Pelodiscus sinensis: one gene and its partners. The protein of the gene in region 3 purifies or fractionates together with the protein of the main gene of each other region. This does not show direct contact. Links are inferred from orthologs where the notes say so. Each region holds a gene or a part of one and is shown on either strand. Other genes may lie near its edges.

Evidence for each region.
Region 1: the proteins of PPM1K (region 3) and BCKDHB purify together in Homo sapiens (affinity purification with mass spectrometry; 3 studies listed by BioGRID and IntAct, counting the BioPlex papers as one, with this or other methods). This does not show direct contact. The link is inferred for Pelodiscus sinensis from reciprocal best matches to the Homo sapiens genes PPM1K and BCKDHB.
Region 2: the proteins of PPM1K (region 3) and DBT purify together in Homo sapiens (affinity purification with mass spectrometry; 4 studies listed by BioGRID and IntAct, counting the BioPlex papers as one, with this or other methods). This does not show direct contact. The link is inferred for Pelodiscus sinensis from reciprocal best matches to the Homo sapiens genes PPM1K and DBT.
Region 4: the proteins of PPM1K (region 3) and BCKDHA purify together in Homo sapiens (affinity purification with mass spectrometry; 4 studies listed by BioGRID and IntAct, counting the BioPlex papers as one, with this or other methods). This does not show direct contact. The link is inferred for Pelodiscus sinensis from reciprocal best matches to the Homo sapiens genes PPM1K and BCKDHA.

The regions. Positions count from the first base shown.
Region 1 is NC_134713.1:58,163,976-58,171,151, reverse strand, and holds the start of BCKDHB (2-oxoisovalerate dehydrogenase subunit beta, mitochondrial), read right to left. Parts: upstream 3,020-7,176; 5' UTR 2,961-3,019; coding exon 2,798-2,960; intron 2,462-2,797; exon of another isoform or gene 2,390-2,461; coding exon of another isoform or gene 2,347-2,389; intron 1-2,346. UniProt on the Homo sapiens protein: Together with BCKDHA forms the heterotetrameric E1 subunit of the mitochondrial branched-chain alpha-ketoacid dehydrogenase (BCKD) complex.
Region 2 is NC_134719.1:39,208,262-39,215,507, forward strand, and holds the start of DBT (lipoamide acyltransferase component of branched-chain alpha-keto acid dehydrogenase complex, mitochondrial), read right to left. Parts: upstream 3,020-7,246; 5' UTR 2,928-3,019; coding exon 2,877-2,927; intron 1-2,876. Other genes in the region: RTCA (RNA 3'-terminal phosphate cyclase), read left to right, coding at 5,138-5,182, 5,521-5,621. UniProt on the Homo sapiens protein: The branched-chain alpha-keto dehydrogenase complex catalyzes the overall conversion of alpha-keto acids to acyl-CoA and CO(2).
Region 3 is NC_134715.1:15,139,509-15,147,483, forward strand, and holds the start of PPM1K (protein phosphatase Mn(2+)-dependent 1K), read right to left. Parts: upstream 3,020-7,975; 5' UTR 2,857-3,019; intron 1-2,856. UniProt on the Homo sapiens protein: Serine/threonine-protein phosphatase component of macronutrients metabolism.
Region 4 is NW_027465992.1:100,905-108,376, forward strand, and holds the start of BCKDHA (2-oxoisovalerate dehydrogenase subunit alpha, mitochondrial), read left to right. Parts: upstream 1-4,452; 5' UTR 4,453-4,534; coding exon 4,535-4,606; intron 4,607-5,318; coding exon 5,319-5,498; intron 5,499-5,893; coding exon 5,894-5,980; intron 5,981-6,911; coding exon 6,912-7,020; intron 7,021-7,280; coding exon 7,281-7,442; intron 7,443-7,472. Other genes in the region: EXOSC5 (exosome complex component RRP46), read right to left, coding at 1-71, 791-880, 1,436-1,576, 3,091-3,212, 3,594-3,707, 4,218-4,407. UniProt on the Homo sapiens protein: Together with BCKDHB forms the heterotetrameric E1 subunit of the mitochondrial branched-chain alpha-ketoacid dehydrogenase (BCKD) complex.

The DNA of each region.
Region 1 (7,176 bases), on a different chromosome or scaffold from region 3:
GTTACTACTTGCAGTACCTAAAAGGTTCCATTTAACTCCTTCAAAAAGGGAACTAAATTGCACCTTTTGTATCTGAGCTCTGAATATAGCTGAAGAGAAAGCAGTAGAAATTTTGTTTTTAAATCTATTGTGCAATGGCAGCATCAACATCAGTATCACAGTTCACACTTACCATCTCCTACGAAAACAAATTCATACTGCATGTCTGGTGTGATTTAAAAACAAATCAAAAGTTTTCTATCCATCTAATGAATTGTTTCACACAATAAAAGGCTTCCTCACAGTGGCCCTTCCATTAGATCCTCCTACATATCAACCTGAGGTTTATTTATTCATAGATTGACCTAGATCCTGATTTTGCTGTACAGGCAGTCCCCGGGTTACGTACAAGATAGGGACTGTAGGTTTGTTCTTAAGTTGAATCTGTATGTAAGTCGGAACTGGCATCCAGATTCAGCCGCTGCTGAAACTGATCAGCAGCTGACTACAGGAAGCCTGAGGCAGAGTTGCTCTGCCCCGGGCTTCCTGGAATCAGCCGCTGATCAGTTTCATCAGGCTGAATCTGGACGCCAGTTCTTACATACAGATTCAACTTAAGAACCCCAGGCGTCCCCAAGTCAGCTGCTGCTGAAACTGATCAGCTACTGATTCCAGGAAGCCCGGGGCAGAGCAACTCTGCCTCGGGCTTCCTGTAGTCAGTGCTGGTGAGTTTCAGCAGCGGCTGACTTGGGGACGCCTGGGGCAGAGCAGCTTGGGTGCTGCTGGGTTGCTCCAGTAGCGCTGCTCCTCGGCGCTACTGGACCAACCCAGGAGCACCCAAGCTGCTCTGCCCCAGGCGTCCTGATTCAGCCACTGCTGAAACTGACCAGCAGTGGCTGAATGAGGACACCTGGGGCACTGCCGGGTTGGTCCCGTAGCACCCAGAGCGGCGCTACGGGACCAACCGGCAGCACCCCAGCTGCTGTACTACAGGCGTCTGGAGAAAAGCCGCGGAGCACGGGGGCAGCGGGACAGCCCAGACGCGCCACGGCTGTCCTGCTGCACACGTGCTCCGCGGTTTTGCTCCCCGTCTCCCTGGTCTGCTGGTCTCCAGCAGACCAGCATGATGGGGAGCAAAGCCTCGGAGGACGCCGGCAGCGGGACAGCTGCGGCACGTCTGGGCTGTCCCGCTGCCGGCGTCCTCCGAGGCTTTGCTTCCCATCTCCCTGGTCTGCTGGTTTCCAGCAGACCAGGGGGACGCAGAGCAAACCCCGTTCTTAACTGCGGATCTGACGTAAGTCGGATCCGCGTAACTCGGGGACTGCCTGTATCCTAAGTGTCCTTCTCTCTTATTGACTGCAAGGAAGGCTGAGGGCAGAAAGAGCTAAAACCAAGGTAACCAACCAAATGACCCCTTTTCAGAGCAGCAAAGAAATTCATATGGAAGAAGGGCTTATTCTACAGAAAATGGGTACATGCCAGGACAGCTGAACATTAAAAGTATGGGAACTCATTAGAAATACTACGCCAAGACACTGAGCTAAATCCATAGTATTCATTTTCAGCATACCTGCAGATACTGAAAACTATACCGAGGCAGCTCCACAGGTCCCCCTGCAGATAGGCCCAGCCTGGCCCTCCTGCCACAAGTTACACTTTAGCTCCTCAGGAGCAGGGCCATCAGCCCTTACTCTCTCAGGTAGGAAGCTTTGGTGTGGGTTCTGCAGTATAAAATGTATTTAAGCTTTATACAGCAGAGCCTACAACATGTAACCATTAAGATTTTTAGTGGTTACACAGTTACCTTTTTAAAGGAATTTTTACATCCCTAGTGTACAGGGGCCATCCCTGGATAAGGGCTGTTCAGCAAAGACCCCCACAGAGCCATGGGCTCATCTTCCTCCTTACAGCCCTTTCTGGAGGTTTCTGCTCCACTGCACAAGAATCCTGCTCCTGTCCTTCAGGTGTCTCCGGCACTTCAGCCTTACAACAAGCGCCTTACAGCCCTTCAGTCAGCACTGCCCCAGCTGCAACCCCAACACCAACCCCTAACATCCAATAACTATCAAAATAAGACTTGGCAAAAAAAATTAAGAATCAGGAATACAAAAAAGAAAAAAATTCTGCCAAGACTTGTTTATAGCAGAACCAATAAGAGATAAGGTAGCTAACTGCACTGAAGTCTCACATTAAGCTGTTCAACAAAAAAAAAAAGTCTCTATGCCTTTTAAATTATTGTTTTCCCCTTCTGTTGATCAGTGTTGGCTTCTGAAGTTAAAATGCAATTGTGTCACACTTCTACACTGTCTGACACAGAGAAAACAAGTTTTAACTCAAAAGTAGCAATGAAGCGGTTAACCCTTCTACCTTGTGACTCATTCCGGATCCTGGTGGCCCAACACCAAATCATGCCACCTGCTTTCAACTCTAGGTCAGTTCAGGTGAGCGAGTGACTCTTCCAGCGCCACAAACTCGTGCCGGTCTGTCACAACAAAACAACGAGGCTCGGAAGCAGCCCGGCAGCAGGAAAGGAGGGTGGGGGGGGGGGGAACGCTCAGCCCTCTCCTCCCCCACCCCAAAAGGCAGTTCCCGCACCAATCGGCTGCTTCGGGCAGGGGGCACCCGCGGGGAACTCAGCGCCCGACCCCAGCGGGATCCGCCTCCCCGCGCCGGCGGTGCAGCGGGTGGGCAGGGGCGCGGCTCCCCGCTACGACTCCTCGGACAAGCGGCCGCAGAGCAGCAAGCGCTGCGCCGGGCGCCCGATGCCCCCCGCCGGCCGCTCTCCGAGGCAGGGCGCCAGGCTGAGCCCCGCTCTCACCGTGCGCGCTGGGCTCGGCGTCCGGCTGGAACGTGAAATGCGCCACGTGCCGCCGCGGCCCGGGCGCCAAAGGGAGCAGCCGGCCCCACACGCCGGCCCGCAGCGGCCCCGACCCAGAGGCGAGTCCCGCCGCCCGACGCAGCCACAGCCCGGTCGCCGCCATCTCCCCGCGGGTCACGACTCAGGAAGCAGGTGTGACAGCAACAGCACGTTGTAACGAGGCGGGGTGTGAGTAGGGATTTGCTATTGGCCCGCAGGGCGACGGAGAACGGACCAATCAGAAGCCGCGATGCTGTGGGCGTGGGAGAGGAGTCTCTATTGCGCACGCGTACAAGGAAGGCGGGCGAGCCTAGACTCGGCGGGGTGGGGAAAGAGGGAAGCGGGAGGAGCGAAGCTGTGAGTGGGCGGGGCTAGACTGCCTTGGCTTAGAGCTGGGCTGTTCAACTGCACCGCGAACACACGGGTCGCGTGTTGAGTAGCCCTGATTTAGAGGCAGAGCGTGCGCCCAGGCGGGGCCGGCCTCAGGCAGGCGAGGTTGGGGCGGGCCGGCGGGAGGCCAGCTGGGGAATGCGTAGAAAAGGGATGTGGAAAAATCCATGCAAGATAGGTAACTCCAGCTTGCATAGTTGGAGTCCAGGTACCGTGCATCGATTTTTCCAGAGTGGTTCCACAGCGGGAGATGGATGGAAGAAACTCTCCCATCAGCTTCCCTAACTCCTTGCAAGTTGAGACAGGATTAAAAACGTTAACAGAGGCACCCAGTGTTCAATTGAGGGATCTTTACTAGATTGATTGCAGGAGCGTGGATCCTTCAGTAAGTGGAGTTTCAGTCTGCGGTATTTGGACTTTAGTCTACCTTGAGTGCAACAACAGATTCCAGAATTTTTCTGATGCCATTATAAATATGGGAGCCCTATGCAGAAGTCCTAGCTGGAAATGAATGTTAAATACCCTCAGGCTGTAGAGTTACTCATCTCCAGAGTCTTGGTTGAGGTTCACTCCTAATTGTAAGACTAAACTTTACTGCACTGGGAGAATGGTCGGATGATCCTCACAGTGCTTAGCCATATGATCCCCGTCTTTTGTCCCTAACCATAAGTAGTACCAAATTTAGAACAAGGAAGATTACTAAAATACAAAAGATAACTCATCTGAAGAAATGGGTTGTGCCCATGAAAGCTCGTGATAACATCTACAAATTTTGATAGTCTCTAAGGCGCAGATTTGTTACTTAAGTTTTTTGATAATTTAGTTGTCAGAGTAAAGAAGGCACAGAAAATTATTACTAGCACCCCATTAAAGGAACATTACTCAAATGCAACATTCATGAATATATAGAATCATAGAATATTAGAACTAGAAGGGACCTCAAGAGGCCATCAAGTCCAGTCCCCTACCCTCATGGCAGGACCAAAGCACCATCTAGATCAGGCATGTCAAACAGGCATCTGGAGGGCCGCATGCGGCCCGATAGAAGTTTTTTGTGGCCCTCCACTACATTTTATAAAAGAATAAAGTGCGGCACACTGGACACTCGGAGCACGTGGCTGAGTGCGATCAGAGCTGTCTGGCCGCTCTGGGCACTGCGCCGCAGCAATTGCTCACTGCCAGCTGGGCCACTCCGCCCACAGCGCCCAGCACATGTGCACAGCGCTGAGCATATGCTCACGACCAGCTGGGCCACTCTGTGCTCAGTCCTGCCATGAGGGCAGGGGTCTGATCTCAATGTCTTCTTGAGGTCCCTTCCAATTCTATGATTCTATCCAGCATTTGCTGGTAATGAGGGAACTGAAATTTAAATCTTTTAATGGAACAAAAATCTCACCATATACTCTTGGTTTTTATATGCAACATTACTAGCTAAGTTAAGGTTGCCTGACCTTCCCCATTATAAAGCTCTGTTTAAAGACTGACAAGGCCATAAGAAACAAACCATTTGAGCTTGTACTCAGGCTGAATTATTTATTTAGAAAATTCCAGCAAAAACTCTGCTGCTTCCAAAAGGATTGCAAAACAATGTATTTTTCACTATGTTTAAAAAAGAGCCTGACCATCTTTTCTTTGAAAAACTCTTATGCACATGCCTACACCATAGGGGGCTGTTTAGAGTTGGTGGGATTTCTCACTGTAATTGCTGCTGTGGCACCAGAACTGAAAGCTGGAAGTCCCACTCCTCTGTTTTCTCAGTGCTCTACCAGTTAGCTCTCAGGAAACATAGAACAGGAAGAAGCCTGACTCAAATGCTGAGAGAAATGCCAGATGCAGTGCAGTAGGCAGTGATAAAGGAAACAGATTGCAACATTGAGCTTGAGATTTGGGTGCACAGGATGGATGAGAAACCATGGAAATGAGTAGGAAGATAAGGACCAGCTGGAGAAGAAGCCTGTGAGGGAGAGATTGGGATGAGGATTCTAAAGAGGGAAACTGGGATTAATAGAAGGAGCCTGGAGGAGGAAAGTGGGTCTTGGCTTTGGATAAAGAACCTGGAGGGATAGATCCTGGGACTGGCACGATTGAGTGTCCTTATGAAAATATAGTAGGTGATCAGAGAATTGAGTACTAATACCTTGCAAACAGTTGGGAAATTAAAGTTTCCAAGTATCCTTAATATGGTAGTTCCTAATTTTTGAGTGTTTGACTTTGCAACTTTACTGAAGTAGCCAACCTGATTAATAAAGCATCTCACCTAATTTCCTAGATTTTCAAATACATTGAAAAAAAATCCAGCAAGCAGTTATTTCTTTATGTGAATTAGCTAGCTTCCTCTGACTCCCTCCACAATTTAGGAGACAAACACCATAAAAATATAGAAGGGTGAAAAGCAACAAAGAACAGTTTGATGGTTTTAATTCACGGTAGCTGATTAAGCTTCTTCTTGGAACCTCTTCAATCCTCCTTTTTTCCTCATCTTGATCAGCAGTTCTATCCTATATTGAAAAGGGGAAAAAAACCCAGAGAGAAAGGAAAAACTCTGAAAAGATTCCTGATTTTTTTTAAAGCAACGCCACTAGGTAGTTATATGAAAACTTCTTCAAGTCATAAGAGTTCCAGTACTACTAGCTTACATATAATCTTTCAGTGTCCAAAGCCCCCTCTTTACAATAAGTGTATTTTCACACTAAAGAGAAGTAAAGAAAAATGTAATTAGAGGCTGGATTCTGCTTTCATTACAAACAGTGCCAAGTCCAATAACATTATTCTGGATTTTCTCGAGTGTCATTAAACACAGTTAACTCTGATCTTAAACTCCAGTTCAGGTGAACATTTAAACACATACTTATATCTCATTGAGTTAAATGAAACATCAGTACAGGCTTAAGTGGTTTCCTAAATCAGGTTACATTGTAAAGTCTTTGGGTTGGGGACTGTCTTACCAGGTCTACACATAGACTAAACACACAGCAGGGCTCCACCACAATACAAATAATATTTTTTCTATTAATAGTCTGAGTAAAACCAGAAAGTTAGGATGTTACTTTTGATAATGTTGGCATGAGTTTAAAAGTTATAAAACAATAAAAAGAGGGCACTGTAAAAATGGAGCACTAAAAGTAAACCAAGTGTGGTTACTGATCTGACTATGCTAGTGTGGGATACAGGCAGTGAATGAATAAAAAGTGGAATTTACTTTAAAATAAATATATAGTTTATAGAGCATCAGATAAAAATAATAAAAGTTAACAGTAGGTTTTTTTAAAATGGGGGGAAAGGTTCATTATGACAAGTTATTTATGTGAAGAGATTGTACAAGATTGCATCATGACTACTAACAGCTGAGCATTAAGAGTTGAAAAATTAAGAAAACAAGTTTTAATGAAACATAATATATGCATTGATGAGCAAAATTATAAAGTTGTCAGCGTCAAGTAGTTTTGCAGTAGGGGTTGAAAATTCCATAAACAGTGAGGTTGTGTCTACATTGGCACGATCTTGCCGTTCTAATGTGTGAAATCAGTGCTTCTTGCACAAGAATTATGATGTTCCCACTCAGGAATAAGCCCTCTTGTGCAACTGTTCTTGTGCAAGAGGCCAGTGTAGACAGGCAACATGAATTTCTTGTGCAAGAAAGCCCGATGGTTAAAATAGCCATCGGAGCTTTCTTGCGCAAGAGAGCATCTACACTGGCACGGATGCTCTTGCGCAAAAGCACATCTCTTGCGCAAAGGCACATGCCAGTGTCGACGCTCTCTTGCGCAAATACTTTAACGCTAGAACTCTTGCATTAAAGAGTATTTGCTCAAGATCATGCCAATGTAGACATAGCCCAAAAGAAGATGGAGGAAAATTCAATGTGAATCACGCAGATTACCCTTGGTTTAAGCCTATAATTTGACTATTAAAATAGTTGAGCCATACAAAAGTACACCTGAGAATTAAGA
Region 2 (7,246 bases), on a different chromosome or scaffold from region 3:
CCCGACTTACGCGGATCCGACATACGTCGGATCCGCACTTACGAACGGAGCTTTCTCGCCCCGGAAGTCGGGGCGAGAAAGCCCCGTTCGTAAGCTGCTCCGGTGCCCCTGGTCTGCTGGAGACCGTCTCCAGCAGACCATGGGCACCGGGCGGGTTCCCGCGCTTCTGAGGCTTTGCCAGAGCAAAGCCTCAGAAGCGCGGGAACCACTGCTGCTGCCCCTTGAGACCTGGTGCCTGTGGTCTGCTGGGGACGGTCCCCAGCAGACCACAGGCACCCGGACTGAAGCCGCAGCCGCGGGGGGTCCCGCGCCTCTGAGGCTTTGCCAGAGCAAAGCCTCAGAGGCGCGGCACCCTGCTGCCACTGTGGCTCTGCTCCCCGTGTCCCTGGTCTGCTGGGGGGGGGGGGGGGCGCAGCTAGTGTGCTCCCCCCCCCCCCAGCAGACAAGGCTTTTGTTTTGGACTCTGGGGCAGAGCAGCTGGGGCGCTGCCGATTGGTCCTGCAGCGCCCGTGGGCACTACTGGACCAACCCGGCAGCACCCCAGCTGCTCTGCCCCAGGTCCTGATTCAGCCGCTGCTGGTCAGTTTCAGCAGCGGCTGAATCAGGACGTCTGGGGCAGAGCAGATGGGGTGCTGCTGGGTTGGTCCAGTAGCACCCCAGCTGCTCTGCCCCAGGCGTCCCCAAGTCAGCTTCTGCTGAAACTGACCAGCGCTGACTACAGGAAGCCCGAGGCAGAGTTGCTCTGCCCCGGGCTTCCTGGAATCAGCTGCTGATCAGTTTCAGCAGCAGCTGACTTGGGGACGCCTGGGGTTCTTAAGTTGATTCTGTATGTAAGTCAGAACTGGCGGTCAGTTTCAGCAGTGTCTGAATCTGGAGGCCAGTTCTGACTTACATACAGATTCAACTTAAGAACAAACCTAGTCCCTATCTTGTACGTAACCCGGGGACTGCCTGTAGCTGTCCAGCTGCTACTGTGAAACTAGCAGTATAGTCTGATGACATATTCCCTTAAGGCTTTGTTACCATTATGTACTCAGAGCTATCATTTAAGACCATATAAAAGGTTCAATTAGCAGAGAATGCAACTTCTCTCTTCCTATGTGGGATAGATGGAAAAGCACATTTGCTCCTATCTTTGCACTGGCTGGTAGTTGGGAAGGTACAATTCAAGATGTTGATCTGTACAAACCTGAATTAAAGTTCTGGGAACAAGTTGAAAGAGATCACCTCTTGCCTTCTATCTAGTCATGTCAATCCAATGCAAATGGATAAAAGAGCCTCTTATCTAAACAGTTTTCCTCCAATATGAAAAGCAGGTAACCCGATTAGTTCAACTAATACGACAACATGCAGAAACAAAAAGTTGCAGTGTTCAAAATGCTTTGACAATTAAAGCGTGTTGAATATTGTCTAAAAAATGGGTGATTGCAAAACAGTCTATTGAGAATGATCACAAAAATCCTTCATTACAACACATTAAATGAATCCCAAATGAGGGAAAAAGTGGTAACTCTGTGACTTGATGGAAGTGGATATAATTGTTTATAGTGGATATAACTATATAGCTGATGAGACACTGTTGGGACAAAAATAATATGCACTTCTCTCACAAAACAGGATATTCATTTTAAATGGATTTTCACCTGGAAAATATCATACTTTCATTTTTGTGAAGTTTCACACAACAGCAACCATATCATCCCACATCAACATGCTTCAATAAAAGTTATAATATAGACAACTACAAATACGGAGCATCATTTTGCAAAAACATTTTTAATTGATGAGATTACAATGTTTATTAAAAGCAGGATGCTTAAACACCTTGAACAAAAGGCTCCTTGTTCTAGATCTGGAGCTACAAACTCAATGTGGTTGTAATGCAGACATAGGGACCATATTAAAGAGATATAGAGTAAGTGTGCCTTGGTGTGGCTTGGACATACCTAAGATACAGGAATGTATTAGTACAGGAAGATAATTGACATCTGCATGGGGTAAACTAATGCAACGAGACGGAAGAATGCAAGGGTTATCCAAAAAGGGTAAAGCTAGCTGGCTTATGAGAACGTATATTTGAAGCATGAATTTCCTTGTAGTGGTGTTTGTTTATTGAAGGGATATGAAATGGTAAGGGAATACTTATACTGGGGTATCTGGGCTGAGAGGTTATGAGGTGAGGTGGAGTCCACATGAGGATGCCTATGGTGGAGGGCTCTGGCATGGGGGCAGCAATGAGGTGTCTGGGACAAGAGCTATGGCAAGAGACAGGTCAGCACAGGGGAGTCTGTGACGTAGGCTATGGCACAGGGATGGGTCCCCCACGGGTGTCTGTCTGGGACGGGAGTCTGGGTGTCGGGGATCGGTTTGCACTGAAGTGACTAGGAATCTGGGATGTTGAGGACAGGTCTAGGGTTGCCAGATGTTTGATTTTGAACCAGGCAGTCCAGTATTTGAGCTTTCTGTTCAGGAAACAAATTGAGACAATATAAATGTCTGGTATTTTCTAAATAAGATGCAACGTGGATTGTGATGTAATGTCAAGTGTGTCTGGTATTTTTGTTGAAACCATCTGGCAACCCTGGACAGGTCTGCACGGAAGGGTCTGGGACAGGGCACTAGGGCGTCTAGGCGAGGCACTCTGCCGTGTTAGGACAGGGCAGGTCTGCACTGAGGTATCTGTGGCAGGGGCTCTGGGCTGGGGACGCGCCCGCACTGGCGCTCCGCAGAGAGGGGAACTGAGGCAGAGATCTGCAGGGTCTCTCTACCAGGGTCGCTCCCCCACCCGGGGCAGCACCTCCCCGACGGGCCCACACACCCGAGAAGGCGGAGGTGCACGCGCTGCCTGCCCCTGACAAGGCACTCCGCCCCCTTACCAGGCGCCCCGCAGTCCGCGAGCAGCTCCTCAGCGCCCTCACAGTCGCCATCTTAATCGGGAAAGAGAGGGAGCCCCTCACGCCCCCCACACCTCCCACCTGTCAACCAATCAGAGGACAGCGTCAGACAACAGCCAATCAGAGGGTAGAGGACTAGCCCACGCCCCCCTCATTAAAGGAGCCAGTCGGTTGATGCACGGAGTGACAAGGTCTTGGGGTACCACTTTGTTTGGGCGCGCGGAGCTTTGTGACTAGGGCGTTCCCCAAAGGTTATAGTGCAGGGGCCGGGAGTCCCGGGAGACTGGCACTGCAAAACAGGGGGCGGAGGAAGGCACCATCGGCAGCTTCAAAGCGATCCCGTCTTACCCACGTGAATTCACGAAGCTTTACTAAGGTTCACCTGTGCCAGAGTCTCCATGCGTATGCTCGTACCACCACCAAAGGTGGCCCCGCCTTCCTTGGTGTCGGAAATGATTCTTTCCTATTCCTATATAGCAAAGACACAAACGACAGGCCGGGGGATGAAATGCATTACAGCCCTCAGTCTTCATCAGTGATGATTGCACTGATTGAAACACCTGTAAGGATGCTGTCCATGCACACAGTTAACGAACTTGGGGGAAGGAGGAATGATGGGTTTTCTTTGATTTGTCAGTTATACGGGTTTTAATGACTTAACCTACAGATATAAAAATTCAGTCAGACTGAAATATGACTGTAAAATGGAATTTTCCTTTTAAATTTAATAATGAACATTAAAAGATTATCAAATAAAGTTTGCATGTCTCACTCTTCATTTTAGTTCTAACTTTGTGACATTTTATTCATATTTTTACTTAACTCAATATTCTCAGAACAGAGCCTTACAAATCTGCAGATATCTGAGGATCACTTTTGCAGATCATAGATTGGATGCAGAAACAAAATTTGTATCTGCACAGGGCTAAATCTTTCAGCTTTCACAGTAACTGAAAATACACACATGCTATCAAAACTGTCTGTATCTACACAGTAAGGAATTGTCCACATTTAGGTTCCTAATGTGGATGCAGTTATTGGTGTAAATGTGTTTATGACTACATAGTTTATTCCTGTAGAGGAAGGAGAATAAGCCATACCAGTAGATGCACTTTTACTCCAGTATAACTGCATTCAAGCTGCAGATTATACTAATATAACTATACATTTAAAAAACATACACAACCCCAAACATAATTCACTGGGATAAAATCTGTAAGAAATATATCCCTTTATTTTATGCCCCTTTTTTGTTTTGTTTATGTTGACATATTGCACTCATCTTCTGTGCAGCTATTATAATAATGTTTGGACATTACCAGTCCACACCAACTGTTTAATGATTACTTTATTGTAAAAGAAAATGCTCCTTGAAGTCCTGCAGTGTCTACAATTAAAGATCTGCAGCACTGGAAATCAAGCATTCTCTTTTTTAATATTGTAAGCAAGTACGTTGTTATCTAGACGCTTACTCTCATTAGTGGCACGCAAGCTACATTTTAGAATTCAATTCCTCCTCTGTGGTCTCGACTCCCAGAATGTAAAAACTCCTTACAGTCCATTAAAGTTCTGCTACAGAGTTCCCCTGCAGCAGAAACAAACATTCTCATGAAACATAAGCCTGCTTTCAGACAGTAAAGCACATAGCTGCTTAAAAGCTGTTAGAATATGGCCGATGATATATTCTCTGCTGCTCTTCTCCGCGCCTCTAGGAATAGGTTTTGCAGGAGGATGGAAGGGTCAGTAAGGAAGCACAGGTGAAATGTGCTGCTAACGCGGAAATGTAAACAAAGGGAAGTGATCTCAGTTCCCACTGACGGTCAGAGGTGCCAGCGTGAGAGGGAGCTTTGCGTGTCGCAGGAGAGGAGCCAAGATCTGGGCGCTATTCCTCCCCCCCTCCCCCAGCTTCTCTCGCGGGAGGGACTGGAGCGGGCTGGACGCGAGGGAGAGTCGGGCCGGGTCAATCCGTTCTCCGAGCTGCAAAGCCGCAGGGGCGAGGGGGCCCGGCGCTGCAGCTGTCAGCCAGCCAGTGGCGTTTCAGCGCTGGCGTCAGCCTAGTCCGCCGCTACCTCCGGGGCCGGCTGCTGCGTCTTGACTCTCCCCAGCCACGTGTTACCGGCTCCAGCTCCAGCTCCGGCCTAGCGAGACTGTTCCGCCGCGGCCTCGCTCTGTGCAGAGCCCAGCCAACTCCCCGTCGCCTGGGCCGCGCCTTTCCGTGGAGGCGCCGCGGCTCCCTGTCGCCCATGGACGGAGACAGGGTGGAGATAGATGGCGGGGTCATGGAGGGGGTGAGTCCAAGCCCGGCCCGGCCTTCCTGATGAAGCATCCGCGCTGGGCACCTCGGGGCGGGCCCGGCCCGGCGAGGGAGCATGAATGCCGGGCTGGGCTCCGGCCTTAGCTGGCTCCCTGAGGAGATTCAGTGTGTGCTGGGGGGACGCTGGCCTGGATCCCTGGCTGGCGGGTGGAGGAGAAGGGGCTGGATTTGGACCCCTGCTGGGAAGGGAGATGGGGATTGTTAGCTTGGCTTGGGGGCCTTGTAGAGGAGGGGGATGGAGGAAGAGCCCTGGCCCAGCCATCCCTGCCCTGTGCTCCGTGGGGCCGCTGACCACCTGCCTCCTGTTCACAGGGTGGCCAGATCTTGCGAGTCTCCACGGCCTTGAGCTGCCTGCTGGGGCTTCCCTTGCGTGTGCGGAGGATCCGAGCTGGGAGGAGCCAGCCTGGCCTCAGGTAAGCTTCCCCCAGTGACCCAGAACTGAGAGATGTCTCCTTGAAACGTGTTTGGGAAAAACTGTGCGTAAAGCTCTGAGGGGTGGCAGGAAAACATCCCTTTCTGGTAGAGCTGGTCCTAACCAATGGGCAGCCTCAGGACACTTCTTGTAGGGATGCCAGATGGCTTAAAAAAATACTGGACTAAAATTTGTCAAGCAAAAAAAAGGGGGATCAGGGACGATTTAGTAGCCCGCCCCTAAGATCAGCTCTGTCAGCAGCCCCTTGAAAATGACAGCCCCTGGCAACCTCCCGCTCGCCTCTAAGGCAGCTCTGCTCTCTAGCACACCTGGCATTGGCTCAGATGCCTTCTGTGTTATTGTGACACTAATGTAATTCCAGCTCAGATAGCAGTGCTGGCTGTGCTAAACTTAGGCAGGGCATGAGCATTTTTACTATAAATTAAAATTCTCAAATCTGGGACTCTCTGGTCTGGCAACATCCGTGGTCCGGCAGCGCCATAGATGCTGCTGAACCAAAGAGCCCCAGAGGAAGCAGGAGCAACGCAGGGGCTGGGAAGCCCTGGGTGGGCCAGGCAGCATCGAGGTGGGGGGGGACAAGCAGTATTTGGGGAGCCCTTGCCCTGGCTGGGATCCTGGTGTTAGCCGGGCCAGACAGCAGCCAGGGAACTCCTGGCCCAGCTGGGGAATCCCCAACATTAGCAGGCCCAGGTGAACAGGGATTCCCAGCCCCAGCTGGGAAACCTGTGTCTGCAGCAGAGCTGCCTGTGGTCATTCAGCGCTGGCCAGGAGTTCTGGCAAATCCCTGGTGGCAGTGGGGCTAGGGTGCCTGGGCCTAAAGTGGGCCTGGTGGAGGCAGGTGGCTGGAATCCCCAGCGGCAATGGGGCTAACCCTAGCAGCTGGGTCGGGCAGCCAGGCGCCCTGGCTAGGGAACCTCCAGGGAACACCCTGCGGCAGCAGGGCCAGCAACATCCAAGTGGTCTCCACCAGGAACCACGGGAGACCCTGGAGCAGCAGGTGGGCAGCTGAGTGGGGAGCCGTGCCGGGCTAGTGTTAGGGGGGCCAGTGGCAGGGCAGGGAGCCCCCAGGAGAAGAGCTCAGGAGTGGGGAAGCCAGCAAGGGAGCACTGACATCTCCTGGTCCAGCAAACTCCTTCATCTGGGACAGCTCATGTCCCAGGGGTGCGAGACCAGGGAGGTCCAACCTGTACCACATTACCTAACACTACCTATATTGAGGTTTCCAGGGCCCAATACTGAAAACACCATCAGGCTCTAGCCAGATTATACTCGTATTCCTTCCTTTTCACTAGAACTACACGATTGCTCCTGCAATATTAAGAGATTTTTAGCAAAAGATCGAAGCAGATAAGGGCTTTGTGTCAGGAAAGGATACTGGACTGAACTCCTGAAACTCTGTAAAGACCTAACCTGCTTACTGTTGTACTTCATGTAAATGTATTAGCCTCAAATATATACTTTACATCACCAGTATTTTGTCATGGAAAGAGTATTTGAATTTGCATCACCCAGGAGAGCATCTGTCCCCATGACCCTCCACTTGGGTCTAGCTGCTTGATTCCCTTTCCTGTCAGGTACCCTGACAGTAACACTATATTAGAAGAA
Region 3 (7,975 bases):
CAGGGACTATAGAATATTCAAGTAATGGATAAGAATTCATGGGGTTACTCAACTATTCAGTTACCCGATATCTAGAAGTGGATTACTACTGTACCAGAGTTTGTTTTCCAGAGTTCCAAGTGTTGATTTATGTTATTGAAACTCAAGTCCTTCTGAGATGCTTGCTCTTCTAAACCTGATTAAGGATGTTAGATATCGGGTAACTGATACAGAGGCAGCATCACAGGGTGGCAGCAGTCCCTGTCCGGGAGGTGTCCGTGCTCCCTGCGGACAGAGGCTGCTGAGGAGAGTGAGTTAATGGTATTAGAGGTGATAATTGGGGAAGCTATCTTTGTAATGGGTAAGGTAGTTGGGGTCTTTGTTCAGCCCCCTGCAGAGTGTCGAATTTTAGCATGAATGCCAGTTCAGAGGATTCCCTTTCAAGTGCAGATTTGAATGTCTTCTGAAGTAGGATGCAGGTGAGTAGGTCATTGAGACAGTGTCCTTTCTGGTTGAAATGGCAAGAAACTGTTACTCTCCGCAGGGGGCTGAACAAAGACCCCAACTACCTTACCCATTACAAAGATAGCTTCCCCAATTATCACCTCTAATACCATTAACTCACAGACATCTACCCTTCCCCACCTCTAATATCATTAACTCACAGACATTCACCTTTCTTCCCCCCCCCCCTCCGCATTCGCCTTCTGTTCTGAAATGTGATTTGTCCTTTTCATGTGTGTTCATTTTTTTTAATTGTATCCTTTGGTATATATGGTTGTGACTATTTTCTTCCACTATTTGATCTGAGGAAGTGGGTCTGGCCCACGAAAGCTCATCATCTAATAAACCATCTTGTTAGTCTTTAAAGTGCTACATAGTCCTGTATTTTGTTTCAGCTACACCAGACTATCACGGCTACATTTCTATCACTATTCTAAATCCTTTTATGGTTCTGAACTCAGAGAAAACCTGCATAAAAGAGATATTATGTTGCATAAATCAAGAGGGAAATTATGCCACGAGAACAGGGATTACCAGAGAGGCAATATCTACATAGACAGACTCTAAAACGTATGGCTGTGTCTACACTGGCACGATCTTGCACCAAAGCGGCTGCTCTTGCGCAAAAACTTGCTGCCTGTCTACACTGGCCATGTGTTCTTGCGCAAGTAAACTGACGTTCTACTGTATAAAATCAGGGCTTCTTGCACAAGAACTATGATGTTCCCACTCAGGAAGAAGCCCTTTTGCGCAACTGTTCTTGTGCAAGAGGCAAGTGTAGACAGGCAACATGAATTTCTTGCTCAAGAAAGCCCTACGGTTAAAACAGCCATCAGAGCTTTCTTGCACAAGAGAGCCTCTACACTGGCATGGACGCTCTTGTGCAAAAGCAGACGCCAGTGTAGATGCTCTCTTCTGGAAGAGCAGTGTAGACTGCTTCTTCTTGCACAAAAGCCTCATTAAGTATGCAAATAACACATGGCAATATTCATCGCTGCACCTCATTTGCATATGTTCTTGTGCAAGAGCACAATGTAGACATATCCTTAGTGTTTACATAAAATTGGAAAGCTATGAGAATTACAGTAATAAAAATAACTCTTCTTCCTAGCATGCAGCATGCTTGTCTTCAAGGAAGGAAACAAATGAGAGGAAAGTAGGTTTCATTTCCCTTTCCCCTGTTAATACCAGTCTAGAAAAGCCAAAAACTTTCTAAAAATTCAAAATTTCTCTCCTTTTGCTGCCCTTATCAAAACCCATTTTGCACCATGCTTTTCTCAAGTAGTGCACTCAGCAATCACTTTTTGGTAAATGACTAATCTAAGAGCAGATACCCATGGCAGGAGCCAACTTCTGCAGGCACAGAAACTACTTAGGTTAGAAACAAGAATTTACAATCTGCTTCCGCTGACTCAATAGTGCGTCCTCGTTAAATCGTGTTACCCCTTCGCTGGGGGCTAAACCAAATATTATTCTTATATTTCAGCATCAATTAATTGATTTTATACTAGGGCTCGTCCAAGGTTTTCCAAGTCTTGAATTGTTCTGACTGGGAGCACAGAGAGTGGCAAGGGATTGCTAGTGCAAGCAACCCACAAGTAAACAGCACGGTGGGTGGGACTCGGGAACTGGGTACTGACTTGTGACACGCACTGGGCAGGGGAGGCTGCTTTGGTTACCTGACCTACACTGGAAGGGTAGCAAAGGCACAAGCCCCAAGGGCAAGGCTCTAAGGAAAGCACTGGCAGCTGCAAGGCTCGCGCTCACTACACGCAGCAGCCCCACCCCCAGCCCAGCTGCCAGCGCCTTGCTGCGGGAAGGCGGAACGCGCCCCCATCCTGCAATTCCCCCTCCCAATTACTATCCGGGTTGTTTGTGAGACTAAGGAGCCCTCCGGGCCGCGGTCTAAAACCCGCAGGGCTCTACCCTGCGCCGAATCCGCCATCGCTCCTGCCCTGCTGTGCTGCAGGGCAGCGCCATTTGCCTCAGCAGCTACCGAGATAAGGAGCCCACCGGCCCGTCACTCCCAAGCGATCGCCTCCCTGAAGAGCAACTCTCAGCGGCGCGGTGCCTCCAACACGCCACCGAGGGGACAGGCGACTAGAGCCGGGAAAGTGTCACCGGATTAAAACGGGGCCGTCCGTTCCGCAGGGAGCGTTGTGCGCGCCTGCGGAGTCACCGCAGCCAGGTGCATTTCCCCACAAAATGGGGGAATCCCGACTGATTTTTAAGCACACAAAAATGCGGGTCAAGAGCGGCAGAGCTCATGCCCGTGCAGACGTGGCTGGGTGGTGTGGCAGGACGAAGAACTCGGAGCCAGCAGCCAGGCGGCTCCGAGACACAGCGGAGGGGCAGGCTCAGCGCCGCTCTTACCTGGGTGAGAGCCCGTTAAAGGGAAAGGCTGTTTCGCCCTTTCGTTCCAGCGCACGCAAGGGAGCGGGCGTGTTCTCCGCCAGCCACCCGGCGCGAGCGAGCGAGCGATCCCCCTGCCGCGGCCGTCCGGGCGAAATTCTAGAACCTTTTATTGCAAGTGCCTCCGCAAAGGAGGAAACCCGACTCCCCGTCAAGCTGGCAGCTCCCTTAGCCAATAGACCAGGGATGGGGCAGGAACGCATCCGCCCCCATTTCTCTGCAAGGGCCAATGGCATCTGAGAACTCGAACGAGCCTCCTTCCCGCTCCCCTGGCCCGGGACCCAGCCTTGCTCTCGAGGCAGTGAGTGGCTTGCTGATCCTCCCACGTCTCGTTGGATTGAAACCGCTGTGAAGGGAAGGGAGCGCGAGGGGGGAGAGCGGGATTAGGTTTAGTTTCATGGCATGGCAATGAAGTGACAGCATTCCTATCCCTGGGAGAGCAGTGATAGAAATGTAGCCGTGTTAGTCTGTTCTAGCTGAAACAAAATGCAGGACTATGTAGCACTTTAAAGACTAACAAGATGGTTTATTAGATGATGAGCTTTCGTGGGCCAGACCCACTTCCTCAGATCAAATAGTGGAAGAAAATAGTCACAACCATATATACCAAAGGATACAATTAAAAAAAATGAACATATGAAAAGGACAAATCACATTTCAGAACAGAAGAGGGATGTGTGGGGGGGGGGGGAAGGAAGGTGAATGTCTGTGAGTTAATGATATTAGAGGTGGGGAAGGGTAAATGTGATTTGTCCTTTTCATATTTGTTCATTTTTTTAAATTGTATCCTTTGGTATATATGGTTGTGACTATTTTCTTCCACTATTTGATCTGAGGAAGTGGGTCTGGCCCACGAAAGCTCATCACCTAATAAACCATCTTGTTAGTCTTTAAAGTGCTACATAGTCCTGTCTTTTGTTCCTGGGAGAGTAGTTTTCTTTCCCACTTCTGGCCCCAACGGACTAGTGAAGGGTTAAGTGTAAGGCTCTGAAGTTGAGTGCATCGGGAATTGTATCAGGCTGGAGAGGAGACCAGTGGAAGATTAAATTGTTCTTTGTGCAGTGGCTAAAAGCTAGGCCATGGGGCAGAGGGGAGCCCCAACAACATGCTGCTGCCCCAGTTTTCAACCTCAGCACTAGCCTCACTCAGACCTGCCCTGATGCGCCTCCCCTTGTGTTTTGTGCTGGGGCCAGAGACTGAAGTAGCAGTGCACAGTGCTGCTGGCAGGAGAGCATGGTGGCAGGGCTGGCAGATACTGAGCTGGGGTTGAGTCTGCATGTAAGTGAGTGGGCCATGGCTCACTCAGGCCCACCCACAGCTACACCCCTGTGGTAACTTGATCTCCGTTACTTCTGTAAAAGCTGTAAAAACCATTTTCATATTTAGCTAAAAGCCATCTTATATATCAAAAACCATTTCAGCTTTTCTCTCAAGCACGTAAACCAAAGTAAACTTTCTGTCACCCCGTAAAAAAAGGCCTACAAAATAAACTATTGGTATGTGTTAATTGGGCTGGTTGAAACAAAAAATGTACTCCCTCGCACCTGTCCGCCATCTTATTAATAAGGCTTTGTTTTTCCAAATTTAATTAAAAATTTCTGTAATTAAATGCCCTAATGTCAAACTGTTTGGTTAAGGGTATAAAAATACTAAAATTAATTGTATTAGCAGCTTTACTGGGTCTGGCTCTGCTGTAACCACGTTTGGCTCATGCTGTGCTTTATTAATTAATAAAGCTGCTTGTTAGCTGCCTAAACACAAAAAAGCGTGTTTTTGCTTCGACACTTCCAACTGACCTATGTAACTATGTTTAAAGGTAGGATCTGATGTAAGTACACCAAAGAAAATATAGGTGCACTAGTTAAATCTAGCCCATTTTGTGTTAAATTTCTGGAGAAGAGTAATAAAACATCATAAGACACACGTGACAATAGATTAAAACAATAGAGCCTTAAAGAGGTTTCTATCTATAAAGATCTTGGCCATATATGTGTACATGCAAAGTCATCACAATGCAATTGTTCTCCTTTTTCAGAGTTACCCACAAGTATCATCTTCTTTTGCAATGCCAGCTTTACTCTCTGCTCTGAATCTGACATGAATGTCAGATGACCCTCTTCCAAATCCTGAAATGTACAGCTAAATAGGCTTAGCATCAGCCATGGAATCAGCACTTTCATCATAACAATAAGTCTTTGCTACTAAATGTATTTACTTCTGGTTTCCAAGTGGCAGAAATTCAGGCAAAGAGTCTTCTAATAGAATCCATTCCCATGGTCTTCCTGTAAAACAAGAGTTAAACAGCCATAGCAATAGCCAAGATACATCAGAATGTTATGTGGTTTCCTGAAGATACACACCCTTGTCAGCATTCAGAATTGAATCCATGCTGGTAAATCTTCTAGAATAATCAAAAACAACGAGGAGTCCTGTGGCATCTTATAGACTAACAGATTTATTGGAGCATAAGCTTTCGTGGGCAAAGACCCACTTCATCAGACCCACATGCATCTGACGAAGTGGGTCCTTGCCCACGAAAGCTTATGCTCCAGTAAATGTTAGTCTATAAGGTGCCACAGGACTTCTCGTTGTTTTTGCAGATTCAGACTATCATGGCTACCCCTCTGATACTTCTAGAATAATGAAACTCTCTGTTCTTACAACTTATTTCCATGGTTCTAGCATTCACTGAATCGATGGGTAAATAACACAAAGAAAATAACCCCTCTACGGAAACTACTTAATATGGGATCCTAAAACCTGGAATTTTTCCTGACAGGAGCGTTCCTCTTTGAAATATATCAAAGTGGTGTAGTGATGAAAAACAAGGGGTTAAATTTCAAAGCAAAGATTGTTGTTATTGGTATTACAATAGCAGGTAGGGCAACAACTGACACTGGTGCACTTTTGTACTCAGCGTCAGATTTAGGGCGGGGCGGCTGTCCCGGGCCCCGCGCTTCCTGAGGCCCCGCGCATGCGCCGTGTCAAAGAAGGGGCCCCGCAAAATTTCGCTGCCCTGGGCCCCGCGGTGCTGCTCTGGGCCCCGCGGCACTCTCATCCGCCCCTGTTTGTACTAGGCATTGTAAAAACAAATACTGAAAGACAGTCCCTGCCCTTACCTGTTCACAGTCTAAATCTCTGATCCAGTTAATAATATGCTTAACCCTAAGCTAAATAGTCCCACTGACCTAAACAGACAAAAAGTAGAAGAGGAAATGCAGGCACAGTAACTTACAATAGTCACATAGCAGTTCACTGGCAGATCTGGAAAGAAAACTCTCCATCTAGGACCTTATCCACACTTACTCCATTAGTAGCGTTTTAACTGTCTTAAGTTGAAATTCTCTCTAAACCTTGTCTGTTGCTGTAAAAGCAGCATATATTAATGCTGTGCTAAATTACAGCATCAGTTAATGTAGATGAAATACAATAGACCAGATTCTGATTTAAGTGAGGCCTTTGTAAATCAGGAGTAACCTGACTTCAATGGAGTTACTACAGATTTACCCAGGTGACTCTGAGTTCAAAATGTGGAATTAAATCTACTGAGAGAAATTATAAACACTATTTTAAAAGTTAATTTACCATTGTAAGAATTGTATTTTAGCTGACAGCTAAAATCTTCAGGCAGTTGTAATTCAATGGTAGGAAATTATTCTTTTAATAATATGTGGTGAATATTTTAAAACAGGCTCTTAAAATGTATCCATAGCAGCTGCTCTTCATCAATTTGTTAGAGAGCATTATTCAATACTAAGCATTAATTAAGCAATTTTTGGGACAATCTGTGTTATATACAGTCCTTTAAAATAGTCCCATCCCTCTTTAGACCATGTCTTGTTTGCAATCTGCAAATCTGCTCCCTCTGCTTTCAGTTCCAAACCTGAAGATAAATCACTGAGTAGAGATGATTGTAATGCATGGAACGAAAGATCAACGCCTGCCAGATTTCTTTCCATACAAACAAGCATGCACCTCCCTCTTATGAAACAGTATGCAGATGGGTGTAGGCACTGACTTGGGATTGCTATTGGTCAACTTCTCAGCCAATGGCTGCAAAGAAAATAACATTTTTTTTCTTCTCATTTATATACCCTGGGAAAGAACATGCTTGTGATCTATAGTTACTGTTCAAAGCTGTATCATATACAGCTCTTAAATGAGCATAATTCACACGTTTTTCTGAATAGTAATTTTACCTTTGACTCTGTGTGCTGTGCTTTTTACATTTGTATTTCCCCATCTATTGGCTTCTTGTTTACCAGCTATTTGAGGCTGGTGTGAGGTTTAACAAGGAAATACAGGTTGTGGTGTCTTCATTCATTATGTGTATACTACCCAGGCTTGTGTTTCTGTCTCATCCAAGAGACGTTTCCAGGGCATGGATGAGAGCAAGCTCTCTGAGGCTCAGTAACAGAGGGAATAGTGGTGGCTTGTGGAAAGGAACTGAAAGACATAGGAGCAGAGAATTGTATCTGCCTTTGTGAATAAGGGCCTTTGTATCCTGTTTGTTACTCACTTTGGGATTCAATTCAATCCCCAACTGTGACTGGGTAATTGTGGGGCAGGCTTTTCATCTACATCTGACTAGAACGAAGCTTTTTCTTTCTGATGTAGATTTTTCCTCTCCGGGACAGGCATAAGAATCTTGCGCAAAACGGGGGTTTTGCACACAAAAAAAAGTCCACACTGATTCTTTTTGTGCAAAAACCCCTTGCACAAAAAGAAACACCAGGGCGGGAGCTTCAGGTTGGGAAGGGCAGCCTTTTGGTTTGTGATGCATCCCTGGGACTGAATAAGACGCTGCCCTTGACTCCCTGCCCCCACACAAACTCTTGGGCCCGGAGGAGAAGAGGCTATGGAACTTGGGAAAGAGGGAACATTGGTCCACAAGGGCCAGAGGAGGTGCCAGTCCAGGATGGAGTCCTGGAGTGCCACAATCTGGTCCATCACATCCACCATGAATGCCAGCATTCTCTCTTGGTGCCTCACTTCCCATTGCCTGCAGGGTATCCTTTCCTCATGCTCCGTGCACATCTCTTCCAGCAGTGTATTCTTCCTCTTGCTTACGTGCTCTCTG
Region 4 (7,472 bases), on a different chromosome or scaffold from region 3:
TGGATGGAGTCCCGGTAGAAGCGGAAGACGGCGTCGGCGGCTCGCTGGGCAGCGGCGATGCACCTCTGCAGCTGTGGGGAGCAGGGAGACGGCGTGAAGGGGCCCCCAGCGGGCCTGGAGCGCCACGCAGCCACGACGCAGCCACGAGCGTGTACACACGAAGTGACAGCCACGCACTACCCAGCAGCGTGCGCAGTCACAAGGGTGCCCTGGGAAGCCACGTGCTCGCACGGCAAGGCCTGCGTGCACCATCACAACACGCACTAGCGCACTGCCCATGCCCGGGGGGAGTCTCTGGGGCGCAGCTGGGCCGGGGGCCGAGGCCTCGCGTAGCAGGCTCCAGTCTGGCGCCTCTGGCGCTTGGAAAGCCGGGAGCAAAGGCAGAGGGACCCCTGCTCGGCCGGTCCAAGCCCCGCAGCGGGGGGTCCGAGCTGAGCCCCGCCCCGCCCCGCAGTCAACCCCCACAGCGGGGCACAGGCTGGCAAGCAGAGAGCCTCATTGGGATTCCAGGCAGGCAGGCGAGACGTCTCCTGACAAACCCGCTTGCCTGGGGCACTCAACACCAAACACATCATGCCCCTCGCGGCTCGGCCACGCGCCGGGAGCCCGCCGGCAGGAAGGGGTGGGGGCTGGAATACCAACCCCCTCTCCCTGCTGCCTCGGGGAGACACCAGGGCTGCCCGCCTAGCCCCCCCCGCCCAACCCACACCCGGCCCGATGGGCACCCCATGTCCCGGTCTCCAGCAGCCGCAGCCTCCTGGCCTGCCCCACTCCCCAGGCCCCCACTCACCTCCTCTACTGAGCAAGTCCCCTTGGTAGTGGACATGAGCACCCGCCTCTCCACGCTGCTGATGGCGAAGGTCAGCAGGGCTCGCGCCTCCTGCAGGGGGAGGGCAGAGTGAGCTGTCTGCCCACGCTGCTGGGGGCGGGTCCACCAGGCCAGGCCATTCCTGTGACCCTGGGCCACCAGGTCCCTCAGCTCCGGTCCCTGCCTGCTGCCCTCCCACCCACTGCGCACCGCACAGAGAGCCCCACCGGCCCAAAGCCCTCAAGTCTTCCCTCAGGGCTTTGCTATCAGACCCTGGCCCAATGCTGGAGACAACTGCCCTTGGGCTGTTAGCCAGGCAGCTGGCTCGCACCAATATCCAGCGGCAGGGAGTTCCACAGGTTGCACGAAATGAGATTAACTCAACTTTACTACATCAGCTCCCAGTGTTGCCACCCCGCACTGGGCCTACGTTTCCCCTATTTCTGACTCGCTGTCACCTGCTGCACTAACCACTAGATCCCGCTGCGGCTCAACTCGAGCCCCGCACAGTGCCAGGTGCGGCACAGACCCCCTCCCCCCCGCCATCAGGCCCCCGTTATGCTGCAGGTTGCCATTAGTCCCACAGGACCCTGCAGCGCCAACCCGGCCTGGCCACCTCACACCCACTTTCTCCTGCTTGGCCGTAGGGTCGAGGCTGAGGGCTCCATCAGCATCCAGGGCGCATGTGACCCCGCAGAAGAGCGACTTCATGGGCAGGCCGGCATCCATCAGCCCCATGCAGGCCGCGTTCAGGCAGCAGGCCAGCAGCTGGCACCAGGTCAAGGGAAAGGCTGGCAGCCGCCGAGACAATCACCACCGACCCCCAGAGGCAGGACTCAGGCCTCAGAACCACCTGAGACCATGGCCCGTCGGGCCGGGCGCCCCCCAGGCCCCGGCCGAGATCAGGGCCCGTCGGGCCGGGCGCCCCCAGCCGAGACCAGGGCCGGGCGCCCACAGACCCCGACCGAGACCAGGGCCCGTCGGGCCGGGCGCCCCCCAGGCCCTAGCCGAGATCAGAGCACTGGGCTCTGTAGGGTCTGGAGGATGGGCAGGGGGCTAGGGGCTGACTTGGAAAGGAGAGTGGGGGCTAGTGGTTTCTGTCCCTGGCTCTGGCACAGACTAGTGTGACCCTGAGTAAGCCCCCCCCCGCGCGCAGAAACCCCCCCCCCCCCACGAGGATATTGCTGGTGGAAAGGCCACGCCAGGCCCCAGGAGGCGCAGGGCCGCATGCCCTTCCTGCCAGCGCTAATCCCTCCCCGGGGACTTGGCTGAGTGAAGAGAGAGCTGCCCCGGGCAGGCCAAATTAAGTCATCACTCCTGCCTCCATCAGTCTGAGCCAGCCGCCTCCGCCAGCCGCTAATCCCTGCGCCCGGCTACCCCCCCGAGACTCTGTCACTTAGCACCCACATCACGCACCACAACTCAATGCCTCCAGTGCCGGAACGGCTGCTGCACCCACTCCACAGCCCTGCCCAGCCCCGCTTCATGCCAGTTCCTCCGTGCTCGCCCACAACGGGCTGGGCTGCGGGTGAGAGCGAGGGGGAGGGCAGGGACTGCGGGTTGAGAGTGAGGGGAACTGGCAGGCCTGGGCTGGCAGGGGCTGCAGGTGGGGAGCAAGGGGCACCGGCTGGGCTGGGGGCACCTGGGGCTCCCATTCCCTCTTCCCAGTGCCCTGCTTCCCAGGGTCTGCCAGGAAGCCCCATCTGGGCACGGGCCAGAGAGCAAACCCACCCCTAGCAGCCACTGCCACAGCGCGGCCACCACTAGGGGTACCACGGGTTGTTCCATTGGGCGCAGCTGCAGCGAGCGGTGCAGGGGCCTGGACAGCCACAGAGCCGAGCCCTTAGGAACAGGGCCCGCAGGACGCACGCTCGCTCCCTGTCCCACACTGAGCAAGGCAGCCGGGCCTCCCCCAGCTGCCAGGGAGCACCCCCTGCGGACGCCCCTCCCTTCCCTGCGGCAGCCTGGGAGGTCCCCGCTGCCCCCTTAGGCTGCGAACGGCAGCAGCTCTGTCCTTCCTGCCCCTGCCCGCCACCCCCAGCCTGCCAGGGAGGGGCAGACGCACGCTGAGCTGCCTGGCCTAGGAGGCTGGGATCAGCCAGGGAGCAGGCTGTCCAGCAACTCCAGCCTGGGCGGGACCCCGGGGTCAGGGACGGCGAGCCAAAGCCCCTGGGTGTGCAGGGCGGCAGCTCCCACCCAATGGGGGGGGGATGGAAGAGCAAGCGGGCAAAGCGCCCCCCGGCACACGCCGGGCAGCGCCCCCTGCTGCCTGGGAAGGATACAGAGCCGGCGTCACTGACCACCTGCAGCACGATGGTAACGGAGGTTCGGGGGTGCAGGGTGCCCAGGATAACGGCCTCACACGTCCTCCTGATCAGTTGCTCCCGGCTCTTCTCAAAGACGCCTGGGGAAGGACAGGGGGGCGGGCTGACAGCGAGCCGGACCCGCCCCCCGCAGCCACCTGTGCACTGCCCCTGAAACCCAGCCCGCGACCCCGGCATACCAGGCACTGCCCCCACGCCCGTCCATGCAGACCAGGCCCCTCGTCCCCACAACCGACCCGCCCACCCAAGGTCAGCAGACCCTGAACGCGCCAGACAGACAGACGGACCTGCCCCCGGCTTGGGACAGAACCGCTCAGCGAGCTGCAGGCTGCTTTGTCAGTCCCGCTGCACGGCCGTCCTACAAGCTCCTATTATTGTAGGGTGCCCTGTAAACATGCAGCTGCCAGAACCAGGGACTTGGTTTTAAAGCCCCCCCCCCCAGCCCCGCGGCCGCTGCTTACCCGGGAGCCCCACTTTGGGTTTGAGCAGCACTTCCAGCGTGGCCTGGTCGTACAGCTCCCTGCTGCCCTTCACCTCCGCCGGGCCGTACAGACCGGCCAGCACCGACGTGTCTCCTGGGGGGGGGGGGCGGGTCAGACTCGGCCCCGCTCCCCGCGTCGGGGCGGGACTGGAAACCCGGAGGGGCCCGGGGGGGGGGGGGCCGACCTACGGGTGGGGGGGGCCCCGAGGCGAGGAGCCGGAGAACAGGGAGCCGGGGGGGGGGGGGGGGGGGAGCAGCTCCGGGCCGCAGGCAGGTGGGGGCGGTTTAGAGGGGGCCGGAAGTGAGGGTCCATGAGCAGAAGCGGGGGCCAGAAGCAGGGGTCCCCGGCCGGAAGTGGGGGGGGCCGGGCAAGAAGCGGGGGGTCCCCGAGCGGAAGCGGGGGGCCGGGCAAGAAGGGGGGCCGGAAGTGGGGGTCCCGGGCCGGAAGCGGGGGGGGCGGGCAAGAAGGGGGGCCGGAAGTGGGGGTCCCGGGCCGGAAGCGGGGGGGGCGGGCAAGAAGGGGGGCCGGAAGTGGGGGTCCCGGGCCGGAAGCGGGGGGGGCCGTAAGTGGGGGTCCCCGGCCGGAAGCGGGGTCCCGGCTCACCCTGCAGGAAGGCGGCGGAGCCGTCGGGGCGGCCGAGCGGGCCCAGCTCGCAGGAGAAGGGGCGCAGGGCGCAGCCCCCCGGCTCGGAGCCCATCGCGACTGCGGGCACCGCCCCCTCTGCACGCGGAACGCGGCCCCACCTACCGACCCCACTTCCGCTTCCGGGGCGGGCGGGGAGCCCCGTTTCCATAGCGACGGGCGCGCTACGGGGAGGGGGGTTGCCAGGGTGACGCGCAGACGGACGGCGCGGGGAGGCGGGATCACGGTTGCCATGGCGAGGGGGGCGGGGCTCCAGGCGGCCCCGCCTTCGCAGCAAGATGGCGGCGGGCTGGGGGCTGCGGCGGGGCCTGGGGCGGCTGCTGCGGGGGGCCCGGGGCCTGGGCGCCGCCGTGAGTGCGGGGGGGGGGGGGTGAGCGTCGGTGCTGCCCGCGGGGGGGCTCCGCGCCCCGTGCCTCAGTTTCCCCGCGGGGCGGGGCTCGGGGTCCCTGCCCCCCCCCCCCCCCGGGCCGGGATCCCCCAGCAGAGGCCGGTTTGGGCGGGGGCGCAGGAAAGGCCCCCCCCCCCCTACTCCCCCCCCCCCCCGCGCGGGCCCGGCCTTGAGCCGCCGCCGCAAGGACGCGGCGCCCGCCCCGGCCCCACGCGCCGATCACGCGCCGGCCCCGCGGGGGGGGCAGCCTCTTGCTGGCTGCACGGGGAAGAGGAAAGGGGGGCGCTGGTGCCCCCCCCTCTGTACCCCATCTCCGCAGAGGGGCAGGGTGGGGAGGGGCGCCCTGGGTCGCGGTGCCCAGCTGGAGGCTGCGTTCGGAACCCTCCTGCTCCCCAAATCTGCCCCCAGAGGGAGGGGTGAGCAGGGGCGGGAAGGGGGCGGGGCCGGGGTGGATCCTGGATTGCACTTCAGTTCCCACAGGGATCTCCCCCGTAAATCGGCTGGTGACCCCCCGGCTTTGAGTCCCCCCCCCCCCCGGCTCTCTTCGCTCGCAGGGCACCTTGGCCATACGCTCGCGGGGCCTCAGGCTGGGTGTCCCGCGGCGCAGACACGTGGGGGGAGAAGTGTCGGAGGCAGTGCCCCCCCCATCTCACCTGGTCCCTGTTGCCCCCCAGCACGCACGCCGGCAGCAGCAGGAGTTCACCTCCCTGGAGGAGAAGCCGCAGTTCCCTGGCGCCTCGGCCGACTTTGTGGACAAGCTGGATTTTATCCAGCCCAACGTGATCTCGGGGATCCCCATCTACCGGGTCATGGACCGGCAGGGGCAGATCATCAACCCGGATGCTGATCCCCAGGTGGGAGCGAGGTGCTGCAGGGAGCCAGCCCTGGTCTCCCCGTCTCCTGCAGGCGGTTCCTGCCGTCCCCCTGGGGCACCTCGTCTGTCCCCTCCCACCCACACACACCCCATCTTCCCAGCCCCCCGCTTCTGTCCTGCCACCTGGTCTGACCCAGCCTGGCCGCTCTGATGCTCCTTGCAGCCTCTCTCCCATTGGCTGCTTTCAGCCCCTTTCCTGACGGGGGCGGGGGCACACCGGGCTGCCTGGCTGGCGAGGGCATGGGACCCGAGCGCCACTCGGCTGCTTGGGCTTTTCTCGGCCCCGAGTCACCCTGAGATCAGAGCCCTGGGGGGCAGCGCCACCACCCGGCCCCTCCTGCGCTGACCTGCGGCTCCTCGCCCCTCCTGCCCCAGCTCTCCCAGGAGCAGGTGCTGAAGTTCTACAAGACCATGACGCTGCTCAACACGATGGACCGGATCCTCTACGAGTCGCAGAGGCAGGTGCGGCTGCTGGGGGGCAGCACGGGGCGGGCAGGGGAGGCCGGGAGGGGCTTTGGGGCTGGTTCCTGGGCACCCTGCGATTTGCTTCCGTGGTGTTGGATTTTAGGGTGATTAGCTCACCACAGGGGTAATTTCCCACAGTACAGGGCTGAGCACCAGGACTCCAGATTGTCTCCCAGCTTGGGGAGGGCAGTGGGGGCTAGTGGTTAGAGCAGAGGGGGGCTGGGCACCAGGACTCTGGGTTGTCTGCCAGTTTGGGGAGGGCAGTGGGGGCTCGTGGTTAGAGCAGAGGGGAGATGGGCACCAGGACTCTGGGTTGTTTCCCCGCTTGGAGAGGGCAGTGGGGGATAGTGGTTAGAGCGGGGTGGAGGGGGCAGGCGGGCACCAGGACTCTGGGGTTCTCTCCCAGCTCTGGGGGGAGGAAGGGGGAGGGGTCTGTGACTAGCTAAAATCACAGCAGTCCCCTTGGGGTTGTCCCGTGCTGCACTGACCGTGCCACTAAACTGGCCTTCCCGCCCACTGACGCCTTGTTGAAATGGAGCCGCGCTTCGTCCACCTCCCTCCCCGACAGGAATGAGGCATGGCCAGGCGGGGGTTGCACATTCAAACTGTAACTGTAAAATCAGCAGCTTACACGGCCTCTTTTGCATCAAGCATCTACGAATTCTGCACATTCATAGTCAAAAGCCAGTTCTCACACCGCATGGGAGGGTGGTGCGGAGTCTAGTGGTTAATGCCGGACCCCTGAGTTGTTCCCAGCTCTGGGAGGGGAGTGGTGTCTAGTGGTTAGAGCAGAGTTGATTCCTGGGTTCTGTTCCTGTCTGCTCCTCTGTGCATGTCCTCAAGACACAGACCTGGCCCATGCCTCAGTTTCCCCACAGTGGTGAGGATACTGGTCCAGTCCCCAGTTAATTCTTTGTTCCTTTTCCAGGGCAGGATCTCCTTCTACATGACCAACTACGGGGAGGAAGGGACTCACGTGGGCAGTGCCGCAGCGCTCGACGACACGGACCTGGTGTTCGGGCAGTACCGGGAAGCAGGTGCTGGCTGATTGCGGGGGGTGACCCCCACGGCCACCTCGCCCGCACGTCCATGCAGTGCTCACTGGGGGCAGCGCACACGCGCCCGAGCTGTCCCTCCAGGGAAGGCTGGGCTAAAGCCAAGCCACTTCTCAGCCCCTTCTGCCGTGGGACGTGCCTCTGAGTCCCAGGCCCCCGCGGGAGAGCCAACCCCGCGCCCATGGGGGCTCGCTGGATGCCCCGGGGCCTCCCCGTAACCCGGCTGCGGTTCTGTGCCCCAGGCGTGCTGATGTATCGGGGCTACCCCCTGGACCTGTTCATGGCCCAGTGCTACGGCAACGCCAGCGACACCGGCAAAGGGCGCCAGATGCCCGTGCACTACGGCTGCCGAGACCGGCACTTCGTCACCATCTCGTCCCCGCTGGCCACGCAGATCCCACAAGGTGAGGCCCCCGGCGCCCCTCCCCTGGCCA